Linked DNA regions of Caenorhabditis elegans. The protein of the gene in region 1 purifies or fractionates together with the protein of each later gene. This does not show direct contact. Each region holds a gene or a part of one and is shown in the gene's direction. Other genes may lie near its edges. The genes, in order: bgnt-1.3 and emb-8.

Region 1 (9,945 bases):
ATCAGCATAATCAATTATTTTATGGATGTTCATTAAATGTTTCTGTAAGCTTTTCACAATTGCCATCATTTTCAGAACTCTTTGTGCATATTGCTCTAAGTGGAGATCGTTTTTGTAGTGATTATGCAGGTCGCTGGCTAATTGATTTGTATATTGTTCCCCATGCCGCAGGTTGTCTTCGTTAAGAACTTTTTCTGAAAGTAAACTAAATTGAGGTGAAATATGATGTGTTCTTTCTTATTATCTGCGTTTGGTGGGTACTGTAGACGTATGTTTGGAACATCAAAAAGAGGTCTAGGCATTTCAAAAAAATTTTCAGATTTTTAAAAATGTAGCGACTGACTATAAGCACAACTTGTTGCAGTTCACTTTTGCACCAGTTTTTATGCCGATAGAAAACTCCAAAAGCAGATTTTCACAAAATTTTATTGATTTTAAAGTTGTTTAAATGCAGGAAAACAATTTAGATTTTTTTTTGAAATTCTTTGGAAAAATGCTTTAGAAACAAAGTTATAAGTTAACAATTTTAAAATAATATTTTAAAATTTCAAACAATTAGTGACTTCAAAACTGACCAGCTACAAACCAGACTAACTGCCACAGCATATAATTTATCTCCAATGAACTTGGCTTTAAATTCTGTAATTTTCTTGCCACGTCATCAAAAAGTATGTGAAATATCGGGTTTAGCTCCTTTTCAACTTTTCTCTTTTCCTGTTTGTTTAGGGGTTTCAAAATATACCGGAAAACCTTCACTATGTCGACTGCAATTTTTTCGGATAGAAATACAATCTGAAAAATTTTCTCATGAATTTTCAAGCCCAAAATTAACTTTGCAAACCTTTTCCTCGCAGACTTGATTCCCAAATATTTCAACAGAAACGGACAAAAGTTCTAGCCAAGACCACACATGCCACGTTGATTTTAAAATCAATAAATTTTCGGTTTCAGTTAAGCTTTGAAAAAATGAAGAATGCGTTAACCACGTGGCACAGTTTTTTATATGACCCAGCCGAAAATCGGTGAGATTTTGGAAATTGATCCGGTCCTCAATCTGAAAATTAGTTATTAAAACTATAACATTTTAGAATTCAGAGAAATTTTCTTACGTCAATATATCGCCGTTTCTGATGCCTTGTGATAAGTTTGAAACCGTTTTCGAGATCAGTTAAGGGGCTGTCAGAGTAGTTTCTTGAAATCTGAAAAAAACTGCATTTTTCAAAAATAGTCTCTCCAAACTTACACTGAAAATATATCGAACTTCAGCCAACAAACTTTTGAAGCCATACAGGGTTCCATGAAATATATAACTTTTTTCGTTTTCAGGATCAACAATTTCAGACAATTCGGGCTCGGTTGATGTTCCCGGGAATGTTGAAGATATTGGATCACGATTTTGTTGGATTTCTGAAAATTCATAATAAAATGGTTTGATCGGAAATCTGATTAAATATTTTCAAATGTTTTCTTTTAAAATTTTGGTGGAAGTTGTTGAAATTTTTATGAACAAAAACTATGGCTGGAAGTTAACTTCTGAAAAAAATTATGTGAAATTCGAATTTAACATTTTTTGAAAGTTTGGCTAAAAAACATTTTATATTCCAAAAAAATTATAATGGAAATTTCGGCGGGATATTTTAAAGTTTCCTACTTCAAAATTAAATTTAGGACGGAAAATTTAATAAAATAAATATTATGAACATTTTGGGATCTACAAGCACCTTCTAAAAAAATATTGCTAAAAGTCAACATAGCTTGGTTAGATAAGAAAATCTTTGTGAACCCCGAGAAATGAGTATCAAAATTTCAACTTTTTTTACAAACACAAAACAACCAACTTTCTGCCTTCATTCCCATCTGTAGGCACTTTTGAAACCTGCAAAGCCTACAAAAGTGTCGCTCGGTACTGTCAATTCTACAGTCATTTTTTCGGGTTTTGCAATGGTATCTCATTCCGCACACAAGAGATCTTCTGAAAGTTTTCTTGCTAATTTACAGTGTAAAACATTTTAATTACTTGCCTGAAAAATGCGGCGCAAGCCCTACAAGTCATAACGTTAAAGTTAACCCCATGAGATTGATATGTACAAATTTGGCACGGAATTGGCTGTGTTAGCATTGGCTCGAGGTGATGTTGAAATGAGCTGGCAACCATAGTTTCTAACAATGAGTTAAACAGAAAAAGATATTCTGAGAAATAATGGAAATAGGCGCGTTGGAAGTACAGAAAGATCGAGTTCGTTTTTCGTAATCGTCGAGCGGATCTCCCATGTGAGACCCCATTCTTTCATTGGACACTTGAACTATTGGGCAGGCACATCGGCAGGCTTAACGATTTTTTTCTGGGGATAAACACATAGTACTGTAGGATTACTGTAATTTTTGAAGAAAGCTATAAATACATCCTCAGTGTTTGGAGTGGGTTGAGATTAGTGCACGCACAGTGAAGGGGCACTGTAGGATTACCGTTAATGTAGTGAAGGAGTACTGTAGGAGTACTGTAGTTATATGAAAAGTCTGTCTGAAGCTTTGAGAATGGGGTTGGAGTTAGTGGAGAGTTGGTAAAGAAATATGGGCAGTGTACTGTAGTAGTACTGTATGAAACTGTGGTACATGGGTACTGCTGTGATATGGTAGGAGTACTGAGGTGTCAAAGTGCTCATTTTGGTTTGACCTTCAAGAAATGCGAAAGATGAGACGAAGACTTATCAACTGTTTTCGCATGGTTAACAGCGTGCAGATGCCACATTTTTCAGAGGGCAAAATTCCCGCATTATTTGTAGATCAAACCGCAATGAGACAACCTGACACCACGTGTTGTAGGAGTACTGTAATGTATGCACGAGAACTGTATGCACGAAAACTACTCTTCTATCTCTTCTTTTATTTTTCATTCCCACATAACTCATATCAGACAATTTTTGATATTGCATTTGTCATATTCTCTTCTGTCTAAGTACAGTTTCTCCGCCCCTTCTCAAATGTATTCATACCAGCTCTTATTAGCTGTTCTTATCTTCAATAAATCGGTCATTGCCTGACGACAACACCTTTTATGGTGTACCGACGTACTAACGGGCTCCGCAAGACCCGCGTGGCAGGCGGGTCAGGCAGTGCTTATTCCCTATTCCCTATTGATGCACCATAAAAGGTGTTGTGGTCTTGTTTTCTATCAATTTTTTTAGCTCAGAATTATATAATGTACTTGAATGCACTTTGGGGAGTAGACGTATGATTTTTTATTTCAGAAAACTTTGAGCATTTCACAATTTTTGAAAAGTTCTATACAGAAAGGGGAATCGAAAGATTAAACCTATCGATGTTACCTTTCAACAGGACAATGCCTGCGTTGCAATAAACACCGGTCGGATAAAATCTTTCAACACACCAAAGGCGAAAAGTTCCACGGAAGAGATGAGAAGAAATAAGGAAGGATTGCTGTGCAATCGGGAAAACGTGGACTTGATTTTTGAACACAATCTTGTTGCTGACATGAGCGACATTTTTTGGAAATAGTTCGGGAAAGCAATAATTGTAGGGGTGGAAATAAGTTTCGAAAATATTTTTCCATTGTTTGAAAACCAAATAATATCATGTGGAACTGGATAAAACGTACACACTTTTTCTAAATTTTGTATGAATTTTTTTAAATTTTGCAAGAAACAAAAAAACGCACAAGTGGATCAACTAGTTTCAACATTTTTTTGCTTTTGGCTATATAATTTTTTTTGCAAAACTATTAAAAAACCGATAAGTAAATGTGAAAATAATTTTTTTTGGTAATTTTTTGTTATGTTATATTTGGTATATAAACACGATTTCTAATGTTTTTGTTAAAAACCCCCACTTCATTGTATTTTCCTTTTTTTTTTAAATTTTGAATAAGTATGCATTGTTTTGAGCAGAAAACCAGTTCTTTTTTTAAAAATTATTTCTAATTCATAACATTTATACAATTTTCTTAACAGTTTTAACTAATAAAAATTATCACAAATTTTGAATGTTTTATCGCGATAAAAGCTGTTCTGCCTATTTTTATGCCTGTTTTATGTTTGGGTTATACATATTTGAATAGTTCCCAAAATCTTTTTTTTTTTAATAATCCAAGTAACGATAACGTTTTCAAAATTCATATTTCAAAGCAGGAACTGTATTTCACTACAACATTTCTCCTCAAGTTTCAACATGTCCCGACGAAAAGTGGAAGAAGCGGTGTTGAAAAAATCAGATAAGACAATGTCCTTTTGCCTGTCAAATCCAGAAGTGAAGCCGAAACACCGGCCATTTTTTTGAAATCTGTATTCACTTTTCTACAGAACACTGATTTTTGATGGTTTCTTTACAAAAATCGATCGGATTACTGTTACTTTCAGCGATAATTGGCTTAGTTTTTTTGATACAGGTAAAATTTTCGGGTTTTTGGAAATTTTGAATAGTGTCTTCTAAAATTTTTTTTTAAATTATAATTATAAAAATTAAGATTTGTTTCATGCGGGAGAACATAATAAATTTTTAAAAAAAATTGAAGAGTTCGTTAAATTTTCCCTAGCAATTGAGAAAACTGACTGAAAATAGTTTCCCGTCAGTAGTCTTAAAAAAATATTTTTCAGCATAGGAAAAGCTATACTTCATCTGATGCTCTCCTGGAAAATGGTTACCCCAATAAGTACTACACAATAGAAAATCCTGCCGAAGAAGGCGAACGCCGAAGTTACTCTATTCAAACCGAAATGCATGCTGACCAATATTGTATCGCGTACAAATTTTTAGAAGCAACTGAATCGTGAGTATCTAATCACTAATCAGATTTTCACAGCATTTATTGAAAATTTTAGATTTCGCGAGGCAGACGGCCTAGAACCAGTAACTCTGGCAACTCATGCAACTGCAGATATGATTGAGACTGTTGAAAATATGACTTTTCTGTGGGATGGGCCGATTTCAATTGGAATATTCGTTGATTATCATTCTTATAATGTTCTTGAGTACCTAGCAGAAGTGCATCGATGTGACGTTTCTTTCAGAAGAAAGGTAAGGAAACAGAGCCGTTTTTCTTGTGCTACCAATCAGCGCTCGCTGAGCAAAGGGCGTGGTCAACGTCGCTGATTGGTCACAGTTATCTTCAAATTGTTTTCTGTATTTTTACAGATGAATGTACACTTTGCATTCCGCCGATCTCCATTTCAAACCGAATGCCCCCTGATTGAAATTCCGCAGTCAAACAGATCATGCCAGGAATTCTTTGCTACTCGTAAGATAATTTTTTTCACTGAAATTTCCTATCTTTTTAAATTTTTCTTTTAGACACAGAACTCCGCAACGCAATTGTTGGCCCTTTCCAGTTATACCCCAGCAATCTAATGCGGAATATTGCTCGAAAAGGAGCCCAAACTGATCTTCAGTTCATAATGGATGGAGATATGGTTCCTAGTGAGGGATTTGCAACGAAAATTAAACGAATTGCTAATGAAGTTATTGATGGGAAGAACAAAAGAGTTTTGGCCATTCGAAGGTTTGAGACTTCTGATACTGCAGAAATTCCAAGAGATCATCTGAAATTGTTAAAGTCGAAAAAGTTGCACAAGTAAGTTAATTCGGGTTTGAGCCAGCTGAAATTTTAAGCTTTTCAGAACTTTTGAGTTTCACCATCGCTATTTCCCAGAAGGACATCATATTGATGGGCTTGACGATTGGTTCAGGACTTCGATTCATTCAGGGGTGGTCACCACGAAGGAAGTAGCTTACCCGTTCGTGTTACGTTTTTTTTTAGTTTTTTGTTCGAAAAATTCTGAAATTTTGCAACCCTGACTTTGAGCCGATCCCCAACAATGCATACGGCGCAAAACCCGGCAGATGTCGGACCCTGAAAATTTGCCAAAATGTTTTCTCGTCTTTTTCTTTAAAAAAAATTTCAGTGGCTATCTCTGGGAAGTGCAAACAATTCTGCATCGCAACGACCCTTACAACGCTGACTATTTCCCATCCAGGATCAAGGTTATGCACTCCTTGGTAGCCAATTTTTTATCCTTTTATATATTTTTTTACCTTTTCCAGGTGTATGCCCTCTGTCGTGCAGGGTACACATTCCATGTGCCAACTCATGTGTTTGATTCTCATAGGGGCATCAAGCATACCAATACGATATACTCAAAAGCTACGATAGCCCACCAAGAAGCGTATGCAATGAAGGAGTAAGTCGGAAACGTCTGAAAATTGGGAAAAGTTTTTTTTTCTAATTCCAGAGCTGGTGATCGGTACATCAAGGAAATGGATGATTTATACCCACATACATTGAGTCAATGTGGAGAGTTTTCAATGATTTGAATAAAAAATGTATATCGAATTAATGTGGAGTTTAATACCAACCGCTGGCCACGCTACCGGCGTTTTTCTCTAAAAATTTAAACTTTTCGCCAAATTTTTTTCCGATTTTTTTCGAGTAACTGCTGTAGAAATATGATAGCCATATTTTTTTTTAATAACTGTGCTTTTTTTGAAATAAAAAAACAATTAGTTGTGTCAAAGTAAATGACCCGGACTCGTACGGTATCGTACGTAGGTCTGCTAAATTGTAATTTTTACCAATATTGTTAGCGTTCATAACAAGATTTCGCTGTTAGAATAAATATGACTAACATCGTTAAAACATTTAATCTTATAATATTTGTCTGATGAATGTGTTTTGTATTGCTCAATGGTGTTATAATCTTTATATAAACAAGAATGAAAACATTCTATGAAATATCCCATCGAAAAATACTCATAATGCTTATTAAAAAATATTGAAAGGTTTCTTTATTGCCTCCCGACGATTCCAGCATGTTTTATTGTATTTTTTTTTGTTCATTCAACAATGCGGATTTTACTTTTACTGCTTCAGAATATTCTTGTATTCTGTCAATTTTTACAAACTATCAAAGTGGGATTAATGTTCTCAAAAGACACGGCCTCAGTGATAAGATCAGTTGGTTATCGGACATCTGCTGCAGCGGTTTTAGTTGCAAAAGACCGGATTAGAGCGGAGCATCTGTTGGATCAATATGATTTTAAGTGGGTTTTGTTTTCAGAGATATCATTAATTTTTAATTCCGTCAACATTTCTTATAAAACAATTGAATTTCCCGCCAAAATTTTGTATAAAAAAAATTCAAATTTCCCGTAAATATTTTTATGAGAAAGATTGAATTTCCCTCTGAAATATTTTTGAGAAAACTTTAATTTTCGACAGCATAATTTTATGATACAATTTGATGTTCCCGCCAACAACTATGATAAATTTCGAATTTTCGACCAAAGCTTTTTTCTGAGAAAATTCGAATTCACCGGCTTTATAAAGTGGACGTGTTAGATCCCATCCAAATCAATCAATTTCCTAACCTCACTTGTTTCAGCTTTACAATAAAGTTCGATGAATGCTCTGAAAGTCTCGCTGCTGGAAAAGTAGTCGAACTTCTTACCCATGATAATGTAGACGTAATTATTGGCCCAACTTGCAATCGAGCTGGTGTAGCAGTTGCGTCTCTTGCTGATTTTTATAATGTTCCAGTTTTTCAATGGGGACTTACTACTACGGCGGACATTGGAAATTTCAGTAGATACCAGACAACGGTCACACTGTCATTGGATACTCACAGGTAAATTAATTTTGGTTTTTTCGAATTGAAATGTGTAATCTAAGAACAATTAGGCTCTTTATAGAGCTGCCGGGAGGCACTAATGAATTCACCTTTCAGCATCTCGCTTGCAGTTCGAGAAATTTTGCGCCAATATGGTTGGTCTGAATTTGTTTTTATATATTCAAACGACGGAGATGAGGAGAAATGCGCTGCGATGAAAGATGACATGGAAAAGATGGGAATCGAAAATTCAGATGTGACCATGGCCTATATGATTCAAATTCAGACGGTCACCATGGAATCACTCCAACGGACCTTGCTAGAAGTTTCGAAAAGAGGAAGAAGTAAATTTAACTTTTTGAAATTAACTGTTCAATTTTTTTAGTCATAATCGCATGTTTTGCAAGTGGTAGAGGATTCAAGAAAGCGTTTATTGCGTCCACGGTGCTTGCTGGAATGTCTACTGAAGAGTACCTTTATGTGTTCGCAGAACCACAGTCGAGAGGATTTTGTGAGACTATATATAGTAAAAGTAGATACTGATAGATTTGTAATTTTAGATGTTGATGAAGCGGATGGAAAAGTTCACTATTCATGGGATGATACGGATGGACAATTGGTGACTGGACTTACAAATGAGCAGATTCGAGATGCTTATGGAAAAGTGTTGTATATTTGTGATGTGAGTAATTAAAGACCATAGAATCAGACACTCAATCCTCATTACTTTACGGTCTTAGTAATTCTACCCTTCATTTTCCAGAATATGGGCGAGCCCACAACTATCACTACACAGTATACCAACTTCACAAGTCAAGTGATCTCTCGAATGGCAGAACAGCCATTCAATTGTGTTCAAGACTGTTCAAATCAGTCTTATAAACATGTATGTGATTTGAAACTGTAAGAAAAATTGAACTGTCGATAAATTATCAGGAGTATGAAAATTCGAGAAATTAAATTTTACAGGCAGCAACCTACGCCGGACAGCTCGCTGATTCTTTCTACGCCTATGCTTTCGCATTGAATAAATCACTCACTCAAGACCCAACCCGTTCAAATTTGAAAAACGGGTCGTTTGTTCTCAGTAATATTGGGATGACATTTCAAGGAGTCGGCGGAGAAGCCGTGACTCTTGATGAGTCAGGAAGTCGGATTGTACAAGTCTACATGTTCGCTATGAACTCCTCACTACTTCCATATATGGCTGCAAGCCTTCTTGTGAATGTCTCAGAAGTGGTATGCCCCACAGTTTTGCTTTCCTTTCCTACATTTGTTTGTTCTCAGGTTTTCACTCCGTTCTACAAATCAGAATCCGAGCTTTGGAGTGTTCGCCCACTTTCTCGACCGAAATGCGGATTCACTGGATTAGAATGTCCTGCGGACTTTGTGAAGGAATACCTTGTTTATACAATTATTGCGGCGTTTATTGTCATCTTGGCGTTATTGGCTGGGTGTGCAGGGCTTCTGTACACAATGCAGTGAGCTTTTTTTGGCTTGTAATGTTTATTAAAAAGGACTCATGTATGAGCAATCCTTTTGAAAATGAGCAAGTTGCTGGGTAAAGCATTCTGTAAGTTCTTGCTCCCGAGGTTTATTCTACAGAGGACTTTGCTCAAGCTTGGAGAGACAGATTCACCTTAATCCTTTGTAATCATCGAAGATTACAACCAATAAAAGTTTAATCCAAGTTGGAAATAATATGTGAAAACACAATTTCCAAACAAAAATAGCTATTCTGATCTCCGAAAATTTCGGGATTCGTCACACAAAATTTACTGTAAGACGCCAGTAGAATTGTAAATTTCCCGCGATTCTCAGAGATCACACCGCAGGATAACCGACTCGTGCTAGCAGACGTTGTTTCAAAAGGCCCTTCCAAAGTTTTTCAAAAACTCGCGTTAATATCAAACAACAACTTTCAGCATGAAGCGAAAAGAAATGGAGCGCCAAGATCTTCTCTGGCAAGTTGCATTCGTCGAGCTACAACAAGTTCAGTCAAAATCCAGAGCCGAAGCAAGTATGCACTCATTTGCCAGTGGCCCCTCAACTTCCACCAAAATGACCGTGGAAAGTCGCACCGAGACCACTAATTTTATATTTTACCATTACCACCAGGAAGTTGTCGCTGCCAAAAAACACGATCTACTTGTATTATTCGATGCAAACCAAAAATCCGAGTTTCGCCAAATGAGAAACTTTGACAATGATAATCTGAACAAATTCATCGGGTTATGCCTTGATGGGCCGCAGCTTTTATCACTTTGGCGGTTTTGTTCAAGAGGATCTTTATCAGATGTTATCAGTAAAAGTTCAATGCAAATGGACA
Region 2 (10,166 bases), on another chromosome or scaffold:
GCAATCAACACGACGAAGGATCCGACTGACATTATTGTCGATTCAGGCGAGGAAAACAAGCCTTGGCGCGAGTCTCTTCGAAAATATTTGGAGTTCATTTATCTCAAGCCTAGAATGAGGGTAAGTAAAATTCTCTCTCGTTATCTCAGCTTTTTACGAAAATTGTAACATTTAATTCTGAAAATCTATTTTCAGATTCATGTCCGCGGAGAACAAGTTCTGCCGAAAAGGATTTCTGAAAACTGGATTGCGAAGAAGCAACAACTAATTAGTGGTGATCAGTTCACAGCCGCCTACAACAAGATTCTTGATGAAAAGAATGAGACAGTCAAGAAATGTGAGTCATTGACACCCAAAGAATATAACTGTAATTTGTTTCAGGCGAAGAAGAGAAGGCTTTGGTGATGTCGGAAATTGGTGGCACGAATTACACGTCTGTCCGAAGGGAGGATCGCGCCAATCAGAAAAGTTTGCGGCTTCGTGTTGACACCAGTCAGAAGAATTTGGATTCGGCCATTGCCGATCGAGATGCATTCAAGAAAGAAGGAAAGAGTGAAAAATCATTCCATCTCAACATGGGAATTGAAACCAAGGACAGATCGAACAATGGTATCCACTTCTACATCAACAATCGATTGATTTTATGGGGAAACAAGGAAGCCAAGTTCTTTAGTAAATTCGCGAACAGCATCGGTATTTCAATGTTCCTGAGTCTGGATTATTCGTTGTTCAGTGCGGCACAAAACAAACAAGGCTTCGATCATGTGAAGGATTTCCAAGTGCTCGTTAGAAAGTGCAACGATGCTCTACGCGACTATTCCATGTATTTGGAGAAGAGTTGGATTCCAACACATCTGAAAAATACCTGGAACGTGAGAATTTACGAGGGCGATGACGTTTGGGCGGTGCTATGGGGCGTTTATGGATACAATAATACCACCTCAACGACATGTGTTCAAACTCACGACAGCGCGAGGGATCAGGTGATGTGGACGACGTGTGGGATTTGGAAGCTGTGTCGTGAGTTTTTTCGTTTTATAATTAAACTAATTTACTGTTTTTTTTTAGAAATGTGCCGAACCTGGATCAAAGCATCTCGTCCGAATGAAATAGTCGGCTCGAATGATGATTTCTTCTGCTGCGAAAACGTAAACCATCATGGTTGTCGCACCATTGTCGCCGAAGATAACGACTTCAGTAAACTACCGGAAAAATATGATCATATCCTACCACAGAAACGGTTGACTAATTCAGCACCATCATCGTCCGACTCTCAAAATTCTATTCGCTCGGCATCATCCTGTTCTTCTTCGTCTCGTCTATTGAACGTCGCGAAGATAGAAAGTCACGAAAGAATTCATTCATCCACTGGTGGTCACAGATTGGGAGAATCATTCTCAACAACATCTGTCAAGATGGAACCCATTCCAAACAATGCGCATGACAGTCATATCGCAGAAGTCCAACGCAGGCACAGTACTGGAAGAGCAATCTCACCCGCAGTTTCCGAAATTTCTCGTAGAGCTGGAACTGCGCCAAGTTCACAATTGGATATGATTATGGGAGAAGAATCGGATGAGTCGCAAGAGGCACTGACGATCAGAGCACCGCGCCAACGTGCTAAAAGACCAATTGAAAGAGTTTCGAGAAGAAATAGAAGAGATCAATCAGATGATGACTCAGACTCTGAGAACGAAGAAAGATACGCTACTGCGCCAAAAAAGTCAAAAGTCAAAGGAAAGGCTGTTGTGAGAGCACCTGTGAGTTTTTTCAAATATTTGCATCACAAAATCTGTGTATATTTTTCAGAAAATGACTCGGGAGAAATGGCTAGAAGAAATGCTCAACCAGTTTCTGACCGCTCATGGAGAACAACCTCTTCCAAAGAACGGTCAACGAGACTTTGACCCGACGAACATTGTGGAGCAAACCTCACGACGAAACTTCAAAAACAATCAGAGAATCGTAGACGCACAGCAAGCTATTATGCGTCAGATTGGATCAGTTCTTGATCATCTCAAGAGGAACCCGACACATAATTTCAAGATTGTAAGCTTTATTTATCTTTTTTTTATCGTTGAAACTTTTGAAATTTCAGCCTGCTTCTGGAACTGTCGAGGAGAAACTGAAAAATATTGAGCACCAAATCAAAGGAAAGAAAAAATAATATTCCAGCTCGCCCTGTTTTCCCAGAAGGACGTACTTGTACAATTATAGCATGTTCATTTATAATCTTTTCAGAGATTTTTAGCTTTCTCTTTTTTCATTATCGTTTTTACCTCATTTATTTATTATCGTTCCCGACCTCATTTATTTATTATCGTTCCCGACCTCATTTCCCGACCCCATTTATTTATTATCGTTCTTCTAATTCTCTTTTCAATTATGGGTTACTTTTTTTTTTTTGTCTCTTCAGTAAGAACGTATGAATGTTTTTTTTTGTAAGAATATGAATTTTTTTCAATCGAGTTGTTTTTTCTGCAAAGAAATATATCCATCTATGTATTTCAATTCGAACTTCCAGTAGTCAAATTAAGGCTGAAACACCAATTTTCAGAAATTACAGTGAAGAATCTGTTGATCTTCTATTTTTACTTCCGTATGATCAAAACATACTGTTATCTTTGTTGCCTCCATCACTTTGAAAATATTTGTATTTTTTCTCTACGTGTTTGTAAGCATAAACCACAAGCAGAACACAGTCATTTTGATCCGTGGTTTGTAGTTTAGTTCTCTTTTTTAACTTTTAGAATTTTCTAGACGATGATCACAAATTTAATTCAAAATTAATCATTTTCGGTTGAATGTTTCTAGTTCGATGTTTTAATCCGATTTTCACCAACAAAATCTTGTACAAGTTCAAAAAATCGTATAAAAACCCGATTTTTCTTTTCACATGCATAATATTCATGGAAATAGACCGAATTTATCTTTTCTTCAAATCATTCGACTTATTTTCCGATACCGATCTTTTGAGAATCGGGGAAGACTCTTCGAGAACAACGCCGAATTTCGAGTATTTTGCACGATCTTCTTGCAAATTTGATACATAAATTAGACATTTTTGTTCTATTCCACGTCTTGAATCTTCAAAAAGTTTTTGTTCAAATAGAAATTTCGGTTTCCCCCAACAAAACTCGCCATAATTGTTTTCCACATTTCTATCGGTTTCAAAAACTACACGTACAAAAATGGCTAGAACATAGACCACACTTTGAGATCAAGTGTAGCCAATAGAGGTAGTTGTTCACGAGAAAAACAATTATAGATAACACATGAACTGAAGAGAGATAGGTAGAGAAACAGAACGAGAAGAGAGAGAGAGACAAGAAAGAGAAAGAAGAAAAGAACAAGCGATTTTTGTGGGCTGTTACTCCCTCTCAATTGTTTCCTCTCTCTCTCTCTCTATCTCTATCATAGTCGTATTAGGGGAACTTCGTGTATAGTTAATGTGACTGTTAAGGCTTGAATTGCTTAAAAGAAAGATTTCATTTGTAGTTGATTTATTCTAGACGATCTCTCTCTCTCTCTCTCTCTGTTTCTTCTTTTCGATGTTCAATTTGACCTACTTTTATTAATGGATATTCGTTTTCTTCTCTTTCCACGATTTATAGATGTTTCCCCTGAACTTCGTCTCTTTAAATTTATTTGTTTCGATCAAAATTGTTTTGCTTCATTATACCCTAAATGCCCTTAAAATCCAAATTTCACGAAACTTTTCAAAGAATTCTCAAAAGTTTCATGGCTGTTCAAAAGTTTCGAAAAAAAAACCTGATTTCAGCAATAATTTCCAGTTTTCCCAACTTTTCCGTGTCGCAGCGGTCGCAAATTATTACTTAAATATTCGGTTATTTTCATATTTATTTTGCAATTTTTTGTCATTCATCTCGTGACATTTCATAGATTTTTTTCACATATACAGAAATTCACAAAAAAAATTTTTTCGAAACTTTTGGGACTATTTCGAGTATAATATAACAAATTATCCAAATGTCGCTTCTCCATTTATCAAAAAAAAACCCTCCCGATAATTTCGTTAATGAGGACGCTATAATGTTTTCGATATTCTTTCTCTGACATCAAACATAGAAAAAATAAAACCCCGAGATATCCTTCTTGATAATATAAAGGGTACACTGTAGCCAGGTCACCTGCAATCACAGCCTATTCTTTGAGATGGAAACCTAGGCAACCAACTCTATGCTCTACAATCATGCTCTGAGATGTTTTTTTTAAATCAAACATTTTTCGATTTTCTTCAGACTTCCGCATAACCTTTTGATTTCCAATTAAAAGTGGCACCTGTTGCCTTTCTTATTCTCTTCCTTGTATTAAAACCGGAAAAAATGAAATCCTCCACGTCTTCAATGTGTGTGTTGTCTGCGCCCCTATGTACGTCGACTTCGATGACTGACCGTTCATTGTATCGGGCCTAATTCAATTTTTAACTCAAGTGTGACGATATATTTTGATTGAAAACTACGTGCAAACAATTATGATTTTCCATTTGAACTTCAAATTTTGTAGAAAACGCATTTTCGTTTGATAAAACCGTACTTTGCGTGTGGTTTTCGTACACAACATCCAATTTTGTCAAAATGTGATAAAAGTGACATAAACTACAGAAAATGCTTGACGGTGTAATCAGTCCATATCTATTTGACTTATCAACTTAAAAACAAAATTCGCAATTTCTTTTCTTCTCTAATTCTCAATTCAATTCTTATCAATGATTAAACCTAACCAGACAATCTTTGAATTTCAACAGTTATTCACCAGTCATTTATTTCATCGCATGACTTGAATTGACGTTTAATTCAAATTAGGAAATTATTTTTGACTGAAACAATCGTTTGGCGACTAATTATTTCTGAAAGTCTTGTAATAGTGGAAATAACCAATTTTATTTTATTTCTATTACAAAAGTTGACTCTCTTTTGTGACCAAGTAATATTTAATTTTCAGAAATATTGCTCCCGGTCTCGACACAACAAATTTTGTAAAATGTAGAAAGTCGTGCTCCTTGAAAGAGTACTGTATCTTCAAATTTTCATTGTTGCGGAATTTCCCACAATTTTTCGAAGTTTTTCGATAAAAAATAGATATATTTATTTTAAAAACTCAAATTTCAACATAGCGAGATGAAAATTATGAAAATTCAACAACAACTAAAATTTGAAATTACAGTACTCCTTAACGGCGCACGTGTTTTCATATTTAACAAACATTCGTCGTGTCGAGACCTTGGGTACTGTATTTGTGCCGTAAAATTACTTGGGTTATATCAGATATTGTGCCGCAGTTTTTTTTTGTTTCAATTTTTCCTGACTCCTTGTTTTAGTTTTGTTTAAGCATTTTCCTACTGTACTTGCAAAATGTCTGAAATTTTTTAAGATTACATAGTTTTTAGAAGTTTTGTTTTCAGAAGATAATTTTGGCTAAACAGTACTCTAGTCTACGTGTCAATACAAAGTCTGACAAATTTTGTGTTCTCGAAGTATCTTTCTTCGACCACCAAATCATATTTTATGTGTGTCGATCACAAACCTCAAAAAATGATGCAAACTCTCTGACTATCTGCTTCTATAAAATACTCACCTTCTTGGCAAATACAACTTTCTTTTCACTAATAACTTTTCCTCACGGCGTATCTTTGTTTATTTCAATATACCTCCCTCCCTTAATTCGATTTTTCTTCTGTAGCTTTTGTTTTTTCTTCTTTTTCTTTAACTGTAAGACCAAATTAAGGGGACAGACAGAACAATATGTCTAATGTTCCCATTCATTCACACAAATTGACTGTACATTTTTTTTTGAAAAAAGACTCACTGAATTTGCTATACGATAATCGTATCTCAAATTAAGTTTTTAGTTGAAATTGTTTTTGTAAAAAATTATTTATTACAGTTATATGATAGAAATTCAGATATTTCTCAAAATACATATATTTTAGTGCGACAAACTTGTGGTTTTTGCGCCAAAAACACTGGACCCAGTCTCAACACGCCAAATTTTTGATAAATACAAAAAGGTGTGCACCTTCAAAGTGTACTGTAGTTTCGAACTAACGTTTCTGCGCCATTTCAATCAATTTTTCAGAGTTTTCCTCTGTTTTCGTTTGATTCGGGATTTTTCTAAGTACCTGAAATCACCTGAAAACAGAAAAAAAACACATTTTTGTTTAAAAACTATTTATTTATTGAAAAAATAAAGAAATGCATGAAAACAATAAAAATCACATAAAATTAAACTTAAAAAACTATGGAAAATCAATTAAAATTCAACATTAACGAAAGTTTGAAATTACAGTACTTTTTAAAGGCGCACGCGCATTTAACAAAAACTTGTCATTTTCTCGGCGCAAACATCGCAAAATTCAGCGGCAATATTTTAAAACATGTTTAAACTATAACTTCTTATTTATTTACTTTTTCAATATCTCCCTCTTCCTTTTCAAATAATTCTTTAATTTCAGAAACTCTCATTCTAAACATGCTGGCGTGGATTGTGTCGGGTCTCGACACATCAGACCTTGTGGTGCTCACTCTGCTCGCTGGTGGAGCAATTATATTCCTTTTCATGAAGGTTTTCAATCAGCAACCATCGTCTAGCAGGTACTTTAAAAATAAATGCAGAAAATTATTTTTTTTACATTTGAAATTAAAATTTCAGATACTCGCCAACCGTAGCATCGGTCACCACGTCAGCTGCGGCTTCGAAATCGAATCAATCATTCATTGATCGAATGAAAAATGAGAACCGACAGGTAAATTGATATGGAATTTTAAAGAAAATAGAATCAAAATTCTCTAATTTCAGGTGCTTATCATGTACGGATCTCAAACTGGAACAGCTGAAGAAATGTCTGGACGTCTTGCTAAAGATCTTACTCGTTACACCAAGAAGGCTGTTGTCGTTGATCCAGAAGATATTGAATGTGAAGATTTGAATCGTTTGAGTGAAGTTGAGGATGCTCTTTTGGTACTATGCATTGCCACATATGGAGAAGGAGATCCAACTGATAATGCAGTGACACTTGTTGAATATTTGAATGCTGGAGACTGTGATCTGTCGGGTGTTCGATTTGCAGTTTTTGGACTTGGAAATAAGACTTATGAACATTTTAATGAGATTGGAATTCAAATGGACAAACAACTTGAAAAACTTGGAGCCAAGAGAATCTTTCATTTGGGATTAGGAGATGATGATGCTAATCTTGAAGAAGATTTTATGATTTGGAGAGAAGCTTTCTTGCCAAAAGTTGCTGAAGAATTTGGATGGGAGTTGAACACAGAGGCCGAGACAATGAGACAATATCAATTGGAACCAGTTGAAGAAGGAAAAGCTCTTTTCAAGGGAGAATTTGGACGACTTGGAGCTTATGAACGTCCACGTCCACCATTTGATGTCAAAAATCCATATTTGGCTACTGTTGCGATCAATGATGAACTTCATACCGAACATTCTGATCGTAGTTGTAGACATATTGAGTTCTCTGTTGAAGGATCCCGTATTCGTTATGAAGCAGGAGATCATCTGGCTGTCTTCCCAACAAATGATCCAGTTCTTGTTGATCGTCTCATTAATATGCTTCAATTCGATCCTGATCACGCATTCCGTCTTGTGAACGTTGATGAAGATGCATCAAAACGTCATCCATTCCCATGCCCAACCACATTCCGAACTGCTCTTTCTCATTATGTTGATATTTGTGCTCCAGTCAAATCTCATGTGCTCAAAGCAATCAGTGAATATTGTACGGATGATACTGAAAAGGAATTCCTTAATAAGTTATCAACTGCCAATGAGGAGGGCTTGGTGAGTTTTTTTAAATTTTAATTTTGAAGTAATTGAATTTTTTTCAGAAAGAGTACGCCAGATACATTGTCAAAGAGCGTCGTTCAATTGTCGATGTATTGACTGATCAAAAGACATGTAAACCACCAATTGAGTATCTTCTTGAACTTCTTCCACGTCTTCAAGCCCGTTACTACAGTATTGCTTCATCTCCGAGATTAAATGAGGAAAAGATTGCAATTTGTGCAGTTGTCACTAAATATTCTATTGGTGATCGTGATATCAATGGAGTTTGTACAAGATATTTGACCACCAAGGTAAATTTTTTTGCACATGATAGAAAATGAACCGTAATGATCGAATATAACTTTTTCAAATTTTTTCATAATTTTATCAATTTTGCAAATAAGAAAAATAGCTATTTTCGAATTCCCTAGCAAATGAATCACCCTGTTTTGGCATTTTTGCATTTTCTGGCTAATTTCAATTTAAAGCACAGTTTGTAAAATTTTCAGACATTTTTTCGCAAAAAAATCTTAAATGTATACAAGTTTACTTTAAGAAAAATGTCATAACCGGACGATGCATTTGCGCGGGAATTCAAAAATAATTATCTCTTTTTTCAATTTGCAAAATTGAAAAACCATTTCAAAAAAATTTAGAAAAATTTATTACATTTTTAAACAGTTATATTTGGCCATCACGGTTCATTTTTGTATTTTTTAAAACAAAATTTCAAAAAACTCTCACTGTACTCTCACTCAAAAAACTCTCACTATCACACTTTCTTTTTCCAAAAAAAAATCCAAATAATTTCAGGACGCCGGATCGAAATCTCCAGTTTTCGTTCGTAAATCAACAATGCGTCTTCCCCACCGTACCACAACTCAAGTCATTATGATTGGTCCCGGAACAGGATTCGCTCCATTCCGTGGATTCCTCCAAGATCGTCAATTCCACAAAAATGCCGGAAAGGAAATCGGAGCAATGCATTTGTATTATGGATGCCGTCATCCAGATCATGATTACATCTACAAAGATGAGTTGGCAAAGTTCCAAGAAGACGAAGTGCTCACACACTTGGTTTGCGCTTTCTCCAGAGCTCAGGAACATAAGGTAGGATACCGTGTTTCATTGACTTTTAAATAAGATATTTTTAGATCTACGTGCAAGATCGCTTGTGGGAGACTCGTGATCGTATCTGGGATGCTATTAACGTTGGAGCTCACGTCTACATTTGTGGAGACGCCCGCAACATGGCTCGTGACGTTCAGGCAACACTTCAGAAGATTTTCAGAGAAATCGGAGGAAAATCTGAAACGGAAGCTGTCGCCTACTTCAAAGATATGGAGAAGACAAAAAGATACCAAGCTGATGTGTGGTCATAATTTTCAAATTTCATTTTTGTTCAGTTTTTTTAAAATTTTTCAGTAATTTTTCTGTGATTTAGACAAAATATTGCATTTCCCCCTTTTCCCATTTTTCTGTGATAACCTCCCACCCAATCGCCCAGCTCTTTTCAACCCAAAACAGAGAAAAAAAATCATTCGAAATTCGGGTATAAACTTCGCCTCTCTTCCCTATTTTGCACCCTTTGTCGCCCACTAACCCACTTTTCTAGTTTTTTTTTGTCAAATATATCACAAATTTTCATTGAAATAAACAGAGTCTACAAGAATTATCACAATAAGATTATCCACCAGACAATGGAGGAATTACAGCGATTTCTGTGAAGCGAACCAATTCGAAACGATCTCCGGGGTTGGCATATCTGTAAACGACATATTATAAAGACGCAGAGATGTGCGACGGCCAAAAGTTGGGTCTCGTTAGGTATTGGCAACGACACTTCCGAAAGCTTTCTTTAAAAACAACGCGAAACATAACAAAAATGATGAAAAGCTATTGAAAACATTTCAATTAACAGTTTTGCTGCCAATACCTAACGAGACCTAACTTTTGGGGGCGGAGCTTTTCCATTTGGCCGTAGAGCGCGGTTGCACCTCAATTTTCTGAAAACTCACTCCTGATCCACTGCGAGCATCATAACCTTTTCAATTTTTTGAAGAGCTGGGTAATTCTGAAATATTCAATTTTTTAATTTGAAATCTGTAAATTATTACTTCTAAAATTGTTTTCCGAATCTCTTCATAATCGGTCTCTTCGGGAAAATCAATCTAAAAGTTCAAAATTATCCAAATTGTTTCCGTCTAATAATAAAAGCCCACCGCTTCTTCTCTTTTTCCGACCAGCTGACATGCTTCTCCGAAAAATAACACTTTAATTGAAATCATGCTGAAGTTCACAATTTTAAAGTAAAAAATTTCATATCGATAATTCAGTGTAAATTGTAGTTAGAATTCAAAGAA

Evidence for each region.
Region 2: the proteins of bgnt-1.3 (region 1) and emb-8 fractionate together in Caenorhabditis elegans (co-fractionation; one large-scale study listed by BioGRID). This does not show direct contact.

What each region holds. Positions count from the first base shown.
Region 1 is NC_003283.11:16,250,696-16,260,640, reverse strand, and holds bgnt-1.3 (B3GNT1, Beta-1,3-N-acetylGucosamiNylTransferase 1, homolog), read left to right. Parts: upstream 1-4,145; 5' UTR 4,146-4,330; coding exon 4,331-4,402; intron 4,403-4,610; coding exon 4,611-4,783; intron 4,784-4,835; coding exon 4,836-5,031; intron 5,032-5,148; coding exon 5,149-5,251; intron 5,252-5,304; coding exon 5,305-5,584; intron 5,585-5,630; coding exon 5,631-5,747; intron 5,748-5,915; coding exon 5,916-6,009; intron 6,010-6,054; coding exon 6,055-6,191; intron 6,192-6,242; coding exon 6,243-6,324; 3' UTR 6,325-6,734; downstream 6,735-9,945. Other genes in the region: Nuclear hormone receptor family member nhr-218, read right to left, coding at 1-194, 576-792, 842-1,054, 1,110-1,199, 1,244-1,407, 1,839-1,972, 2,022-2,155; Receptor-type guanylate cyclase gcy-20, read left to right, coding at 6,854-7,050, 7,392-7,634, 7,734-7,960, 8,002-8,127, 8,177-8,298, 8,380-8,502, 8,586-8,855, 8,904-9,097 and 1 more.
Region 2 is NC_003281.10:5,195,987-5,206,152, reverse strand, and holds emb-8 (NADPH--cytochrome P450 reductase), read left to right. Parts: upstream 1-6,475; 5' UTR 6,476-6,492; coding exon 6,493-6,614; intron 6,615-6,672; coding exon 6,673-6,766; intron 6,767-6,819; coding exon 6,820-7,818; intron 7,819-7,865; coding exon 7,866-8,114; intron 8,115-8,616; coding exon 8,617-8,913; intron 8,914-8,957; coding exon 8,958-9,185; 3' UTR 9,186-9,473; downstream 9,474-10,166. Other genes in the region: ATPase morc-1, read left to right, coding at 1-120, 196-337, 382-1,020, 1,069-1,760, 1,810-2,049, 2,099-2,167; moc-6 (Molybdopterin synthase sulfur carrier subunit), read right to left, coding at 9,490-9,568, 9,822-9,877, 9,921-9,974, 10,026-10,091.